2 linked regions of the Neurospora crassa OR74A genome follow. Each later gene encodes a partner of the first gene's protein in a complex. Links are inferred from orthologs where the notes say so. Each region holds a gene or a part of one and is shown on either strand. Other genes may lie near its edges.

Evidence for each region.
Region 2: the proteins of NCU16016 (region 1) and cya-4 are in contact, whole or in part, in a cryo-EM structure (PDB 8Q1B), measured with the Schizosaccharomyces pombe proteins. The link is inferred for Neurospora crassa OR74A from reciprocal best matches to the Schizosaccharomyces pombe genes cox1 and cox5. Residues at the interface, in YP_011104928.1 of Schizosaccharomyces pombe: Met44, Ser47, Ala48, Pro49, Ser51, Gln52, Phe53, Trp340, Ser341, Arg342, Glu414, Thr415, Ser418, Ile419, Trp422, Ile423, Ile426, Ala453, Val455, Gly456, Phe459, Ser462, Ile463, Val466, Ile467, Leu470, Ile496, Pro497, Ser498, Tyr499; in NP_588158.2 of Schizosaccharomyces pombe: Tyr71, Ile92, Ala93, Phe94, Gly95, His97, Pro99, Arg100, Phe102, Ser103, Ile105, Gln107, Thr109, Val110, Gly113, Thr114, Gly117, Leu118, Ile120, Gly121, Leu124, Phe125, Ile128, Arg129, Gln131, Ala132, Ala133, Pro136, Thr138, Met139.

Annotation. Positions count from the first base shown.
Region 1 is NC_026614.1:37,879-41,735, forward strand, and holds NCU16016 (cytochrome c oxidase subunit 1), read left to right. Parts: upstream 1-1,389; coding exon 1,390-3,063; downstream 3,064-3,857. Other genes in the region: NCU16017 (hypothetical protein), read left to right, coding at 3,026-3,857.
Region 2 is NC_026502.1:1,656,438-1,660,026, reverse strand, and holds cya-4 (cytochrome c oxidase subunit IV), read left to right. Parts: upstream 1-1,729; 5' UTR 1,730-1,870; coding exon 1,871-2,105; intron 2,106-2,503; coding exon 2,504-2,697; intron 2,698-2,765; coding exon 2,766-2,852; 3' UTR 2,853-3,041; downstream 3,042-3,589. Other genes in the region: NCU05458 (hypothetical protein), read right to left, coding at 1-87; NCU16537 (hypothetical protein), read left to right, coding at 622-682, 744-807, 871-931. UniProt on the Schizosaccharomyces pombe protein: Component of the cytochrome c oxidase, the last enzyme in the mitochondrial electron transport chain which drives oxidative phosphorylation.

The sequences.
Region 1 (3,857 bases):
ATGGTTTACCCTTTGACTGCAAATCTTAAGGATTAGGTTCGATTCCTACGTAATCCTTTAGGGTTAGCCTATAGCCAATTTTTTTGAGGCTAGCTTAATTTTTTTTAGCCGTCCCCCCGCCCTGCAGTACTGCAGGGGGGGGAAGCTAAAAAAAATAAGCGCCAGCCCAAAAAAAAATGAAGCAAGCTGCCCGCAAATTTAATAAATTTACTAACTATCTTAATGAAAAAAAAAAAATAATTCTATAAGGGGAGTAATTATCTGTATTTAGGGCTTAAATAATATGGGGGTAGTACATAATAATAATATTTAAGCACTAAAACATATATTTGTTTTTGTTTTTAAAAATATATGATAAAAAGACGCCTCGCGGCTCGATTTATTATTTGTATGTAAAATAAATTTAGGTTTAGTTTAGTTTGGAGGCGAGCTTCGCTAGCCCCTAAAATATACAAACTAAATCTTCTCTTGTAGGCTACAAAGGAATATAAGATACTAAGTAGTATCTTAACTGATGTTGTAGAAAAGGCGGAGTGATTCTGAGGCAAGCTTCGCCCGCCTTAACAAAATATGTATTATGAAGAAATAAACCGGTAAAGAAATATTTCTTTTTTTTTTTATATACACTACCTACATATTTTGGAGGCGAGCTTCGCTTAATTTTTTTAGCCGTCCCCCCGCCCTGCAGTACTGCAGGGGGGGAAGCTAAAAAATAATTGCCTCCCAAAATATTTTTAATATTTTGGTTAAATAATAAGATAAGTCTTCATTTTCTCGCGTAGCGGAGGCTCTCCTAACAAACCCCCCGCAAGCTTGCGGGGGTTTAGAAGTGGGAGCAAAATGAATTATAATAATAACTTGTGCGCTCCTCCAAAGGCGCTCATCCACTCTTCACAATCCCCCTTCCCCCCCCTGCAGTACTGCAGGGCGGGGGGACGGGGGGATATGTGGATAAGGGTAGCGAGAAAAGTTAATTTACTACATGAGGCTAATGGAATATTGGATAGCTGACTTAATATAGCAAGGCACTTCGTTGGTTCTAATACTGATTTAGCCGTGATTCCGCCTTTTTTTTTTTTTTTTTTTTTTTTAAAAAAAAAAAAAAAAAGAAAGTCCACAAAACATTGAAAGGCTAGTGTGTTTTTTAGTAAGTCAGTCAATCACCTACGTAGGTGATCCAGAATTACGTTACCGGGGATATTCTGTTGGTCGGTTTACAGAATATCCTGGTTAGCATTGATTGTATAATCAATAAGATGTTGTAATCTTATTTTATTTTTATTTATAAGATACGTAACCATTATAATAAAAACCATTATATTATTTAATCAATTAAATAGTGAGGAGTTTGGGCTCTCTTTAAATTCAAGTAAAAGAAGTGTCGGGTTAATGTCGTCAATTTCGATTTGAACTGAAAGATGATTTTTATCAACGAATGCTAAAGATATAGGAGTTCTTTATCTAATCTTTGCGCTATTTTCTGGGTTACTTGGAACAGCATTTTCTGTTTTAATAAGAATGGAGTTAAGCGGACCTGGGGTGCAGTACATTGCAGATAATCAATTATACAATGCTATAATAACTGCACATGCGATCTTAATGATTTTCTTTATGGTTATGCCAGCATTAATAGGTGGATTTGGTAATTTCTTGTTACCATTATTAGTAGGGGGTCCTGACATGGCATTCCCAAGACTTAATAATATTAGTTTCTGACTGTTACCACCAAGTTTACTATTATTAGTATTCTCTGCATGTATAGAAGGTGGAGCAGGTACAGGATGAACAATTTATCCTCCTTTATCAGGTGTACAAAGTCATAGTGGACCTAGTGTAGATTTGGCTATCTTTGCCCTACATTTATCAGGAGTTAGTTCCTTATTAGGGTCTATTAATTTCATAACTACAATAGTAAATATGAGAACACCAGGAATTAGATTGCACAAATTAGCTTTATTTGGATGAGCTGTAGTTATTACAGCTGTATTATTATTACTATCTCTCCCCGTGTTGGCCGGTGCAATTACTATGCTATTAACAGATAGAAATTTTAATACATCATTCTTTGAAACAGCTGGTGGTGGTGATCCTATTTTATTCCAACATCTTTTCTGATTCTTCGGGCATCCTGAGGTTTACATTTTAATTATACCTGGTTTTGGTATAATAAGTACAACAATATCAGCTTATTCTAATAAATCAGTATTCGGTTATATTGGTATGGTCTACGCCATGATGTCTATTGGAATATTAGGATTTATTGTTTGAAGTCATCATATGTATACAGTTGGTTTAGACGTGGATACAAGAGCGTATTTCACAGCAGCTACATTAATTATTGCAGTTCCTACAGGAATTAAAATATTCTCATGATTAGCTACATGTTATGGAGGTTCTATTAGATTAACTCCTTCTATGTTATTTGCTTTAGGTTTTGTATTTATGTTCACAATTGGGGGATTAAGTGGAGTTGTTTTAGCGAATGCATCTTTAGATATAGCATTCCACGATACTTATTACGTAGTTGCTCATTTTCACTATGTATTAAGTATGGGTGCTGTATTTGCAATGTTTAGCGGATGATATCACTGAGTACCTAAAATATTAGGTTTAAATTATAATATGGTGTTATCTAAAGCTCAATTCTGACTTTTATTCATAGGGGTTAATTTAACATTCTTCCCTCAACATTTCTTAGGTTTACAAGGTATGCCAAGAAGAATAAGTGATTACCCTGACGCATTTTCAGGTTGAAATTTAATAAGTAGTTTTGGGTCAATCGTAAGTGTAGTAGCTTCTTGATTATTCTTATATATTGTGTATATACAACTAGTTCAAGGAGAATACGCAGGTAGATATCCATGATCAATCCCACAATTCTATACTGATAGTTTACGTGCTCTTTTAAATAGAAGTTATCCTAGTTTAGAATGATCTATAAGTAGCCCACCTAAACCTCATTCATTCGTGAGTCTTCCATTACAATCTTCATCATTTTTTTTATCATTTTTTAGATTATCATCATATGGGGAACAAAAAGAAATCAGTGGGAGGCAAAATTAATTTTCTTGAACTTTTAACTTTCATCCAATTTTTAACTCATAAACTAACTTTAACACCACCAAAACCTCACCTTTTTGTGACCTCAAATTTACAAGCATCTATTTGGAACTGACCTTCTAAATCTCGTATTACTGAAATATCTAAAGCCATCTGAATGAATATGATTAAGAAGTTTAAAATATTTATTTTTTTTGCTCTACCTACTATGTTAATAGTTAAAGGTATATATATTTGTTATGATCAGGAGATATGAACTCTGGTATTTTTTACTCAAAATTTGGTAAAAAATTTCCCTTTTTTTGGCTTAAGATTATTTAATATGATTTGAGTAGAGTCCAATTTAGGAGTAGAAGCGTCCAATTTAGGAGTAGAAGCTCCTAAAGCTTCTTCAATATTTTTAGATCTTCATCTTTGAACCTTGATGTACCTATTTGGTAGTTTAGCTAGAATTTTTGGAGAACTATATTATAGTGATTTTGAATTACCTGCGGGTGTAGGTGGTGAGTCTTGTGAAAAAAAAACACCATCTCCACGTGGACCTTTAACTTTATATAAAAAAGGTTCAGACTCAGGTGCATCAGGAGGTTCAGATTCACCTCCATCTGCAAAAGGAAATTCAGGTGCAAGCTCAGGTCCTAATCAAGACCGATTAGCACCAGAAACAGATTCAGAGGATGAAACAACACAAACAGATCAAGGTCCTAGATCCCGAGGTTATCGTAAAACAAGAACACGCTCAATGGTGCGTAGGCGTTGAATACGAGATAAACCAGACTGAGTAGAAGGTTTATGAA
Region 2 (3,589 bases), on another chromosome or scaffold:
GTCGATATCGATATCATCGTCGTCGAAGCTGCTGTCGTCGTCCTCGTCCGAACCCGGCACTTCGCCCAATTCCCTCCAATTCTTCATGACTTTTGCTGTTCATGTCGTCGAGGACATTCTTTTGCCCTTCGTCTCTCGTTCGAAAGGCAACTCGGCGTGGGCCGTTGGCATGCAAACCTGAATGTAGGAGGCGAATGGCTGGTCGTCCGGGCAGGCAACGTGCAGTGCTTTCAAGGTTGAGACGCGTCCACAAACACTGGGAGACGCGCCGTCGGAGAAAATGTGGTCTGTGCGCTACTTAGCTGTGTTTAATGATTTCCAATTGCCTCCGCGTCATTGCTTGCATGCACTGGACCGGGGTTAAACAGACAGTGCACATGGCATCCGGGCGGGCGGCGGAATGGAGCTGTGCAGATTATGCTACACTACAGTACAGTACTGCCCTGTACAGCACCGTTGTTGCCGTTTACAGGGACGGACCCAACGAAACGCTGAAGTGTTCTCGAACTGAGTGAAGGTCCAGATCGAATATACTATCGAAGCTGATATTCAATCCGGTCAACTGAGTGGCGATCATCAGCCAAGACATAAAAAAATCAACAACAGCAACAAAAAGTCAAGATGCTCAACGGCAAAAAGATCATCACCATTGGTTTGGTAGTAACCTTTGGCATCGTGAATGGTCCGGGCTCTTTGGTTGCATGTGCTTGTGATTGGAAGAATAAAGTCTGACGTCTCTGCAGGATACTACACATTTGCCCCCAGTCTCCGGGCGGAGAAGGAGAAGCGTGAAGGCCTAAACCTTGGGTGAGAAGATGAGCTTGAAACAATCAAGTGCGGTTAAGACTGGATAGACTAACATGACACCAGTCCCCCGGCCAAGCCCTCTCCATATGAGATTAGGAAGCAAGAGTGGGAGAAAAGAGAATGAGATGTAGGATGCTAGCATGGAGTAGAGTAACAACTAGGTATCGTGATCATACCATCGACCAAGGCATGAGTTATATATATATATTTGGAGGGATATGTCGGTGCATAGCTGTCCCTCTTTTTGTTTTCTCGAAACTCATGACAGCAATTCGTTTGAAACGAAGCATCCAAGGCTTCATTTTCGTTCTGCCGCGTTTACTGTACTCATTGCGGATAACATGACATGAAATATCTCTCTGCAAGGCTTTAATCTGTCTAAAGACCCTGTCGTGTCTCCCACTCCGGACAAGCAAACAATAAACTTTGTGAGACAGTGACGTCTGGCATGTGAGTTCCGTTTTTCAGCTGCCAGAGAATCGAATCGTCGTCATCCAAAAGTCAACAATGAACAATGGACACTCCAGTCAGCCCAAGGACAAAACGTCCATGGTGTGGAAACTGAAGGCGGTCCGTGCCAGCTGTCAAGAGTGTGGAATTGCCAGGTGAGGGGCTCCGTTTCTGAGCGCCAGACACGCAAAAGCTGCCCGTTCACCACTTGCCAGGCGGCCCTGGTCAGCCTGCCGTGAGTTGGCTCCCGGGAAGATACGGGGCCCCAAGCTAGGTAAACTGTGACAGCGAGTCTCATAGCGCTCTGGTTTGGGGGTGTTTTCACTGGCGGGCACTGCGTTCGGGGTGAGCAAAGTGGGCATCAGGCCATCCCAGGCATTCCTCGAGTTCCGAGCTGAGGCCGCATCCCCGTTTCGCCTACCTGCGAATCCCGTTCGCCCAAAAAAAAGCTCGTCCTTTGCATGACTTCACTCCTCGCACAAAATCACCGTCGACGATCGAGCTCCAGGCCTCCGACCACGCACGCGGGCGACTCAATTGGATCCATCTCCACCCCCGACTTCGAATCCTCCTCAACTTCCTAATCTCTGTCAGCCGACAATCCGCCGCCACCATGCTTCGCACTCCTACCGTCTCGGCCCTCGTGCGCAACGTCGCCGTTCGCGCCGCCAAGCCCACCATGGCCGTCCGCGCCGCTTCCACCATGCCCATCTCCAACCCCACGCTTGCCAACATTGAGAAGAGATGGGAGCAGATGCCCATGCAGGAGCAGGCCGAGCTCTGGATGGCTCTCCGCGACCGCATGAAGGGCAACTGGGCCGACCTTACCCTCCAGGAGAAGAAGGCTGGTAAGTGAGAAGTGGAAGGTTGAAGGTTGGCGAAATGCCGGGTGGAGCTCGACCGTCCAAGCTCCGAGCTAGTTGCATCACCAACGCCCGCCTTGAAGCTCCCCCCCGTCACCCTCACTCTGCGACAACCCCGAGCTTCAAACAAGCTTCACGAGCTCCCGGACAGCTTTGGGATCGTTGGGCGGAAATGGATCTTGTCGGCCTAGAGGTTATCGGTTGATTGATGGGTTGTTGGGGGACGCTGGGAGAAGGCTGAGGGAGTAATGGTGCGCTACATTGGAGGAGAAGAGGAGGGAAGCTCCGACGACAAACCGCACCATGACAGCCATCAAGGTCGTCTCAAGAGACACGCAGGCCCAGACCACAGAAAGACTGACATGTACTCTCTCTCAACGCAGCCTACTACATCGCCTTCGGTCCCCACGGCCCCCGCGCTCTCCCCCCTCCCGGCGAGCAGAAGAAGGTCTTGGCCTACACTGTCGCCGGTGTCTTCCTCTCTTTCGTCATCTTCGCTACCATGCGCGCCTTCGCCAAGCCCCCTCCTGCCACCATGACCAAGGAGTGGCAAGAGGCTACCAACGAGTTCCTCAAGGTGCGTCGGCTCATATCGGCTCTTTGTTGGCAACCAGATCAACTAACACATATATCACCAACAAACAGGCCCAGAAGTCCGACCCCCTCACTGGTCTCACCTCCGAAGGCTACAACGGCAAGGGCCACGTTCAGTCTCCCTCTGCCAGCGCATAAGTTTCGCATACTTTTATTGGTGCTCAGGGGTAGACTCATCCTTCGTTCTCTCGGATATCGGCCATGTCAAACGAGTCTGTGAGGATCGGGGGAAAGGACAGTGGTGGCATTGGAATGCTTTGGGGCGCTTAACACTTGGGTTGGTGTGTAAATACTGTACAGCTGACAATGCATTATCATTTCCTTTAGCCGGCGCGTTCGTTTTGTTGTCCGGTGTAAATGGGGGTCATGGGGGTTTAGGGAGATATGGAACTTGGTAGAGAAGAGTGAGCGGATGGGGATAGCTAGATTCGGGCAGTGAGGCCAAGCTCCTGGATATCAAGATGAAACGAGGTATTTGAGGATTTTGAGGGAGTAGCATCGTCACACGCGGAAAGAAGCTTCCGAGCTTTTAAGGCGCCTAGCACCTTTTCAGGATGACGTCTCTTGATCCCTGCTAGGTGTTTCGCTGCTAGTAAGAAATGACACTGTTTGTTTGTTTGTTTGTTTGTTTACTTGACATGGCCGAAAAAGGGGTAAGCTACCCTGCTCCCAGCACCCAGCCGTATCTCACTCGGTAGCCCGTACTTCGGATAAGAGTTACGGGCGATGATTTCACATCCGGGCCTTCGGGACGAGAACGCCACTCATAGTCCTGCCTCATCCAGATGCTCTTTCTTCGTCCTGATGTTTTTGCCTGCTGCGGCTGTCCCCTCGTGACCAACCGTCATCCATGAAGTTGCTGGATTGATTTCAGA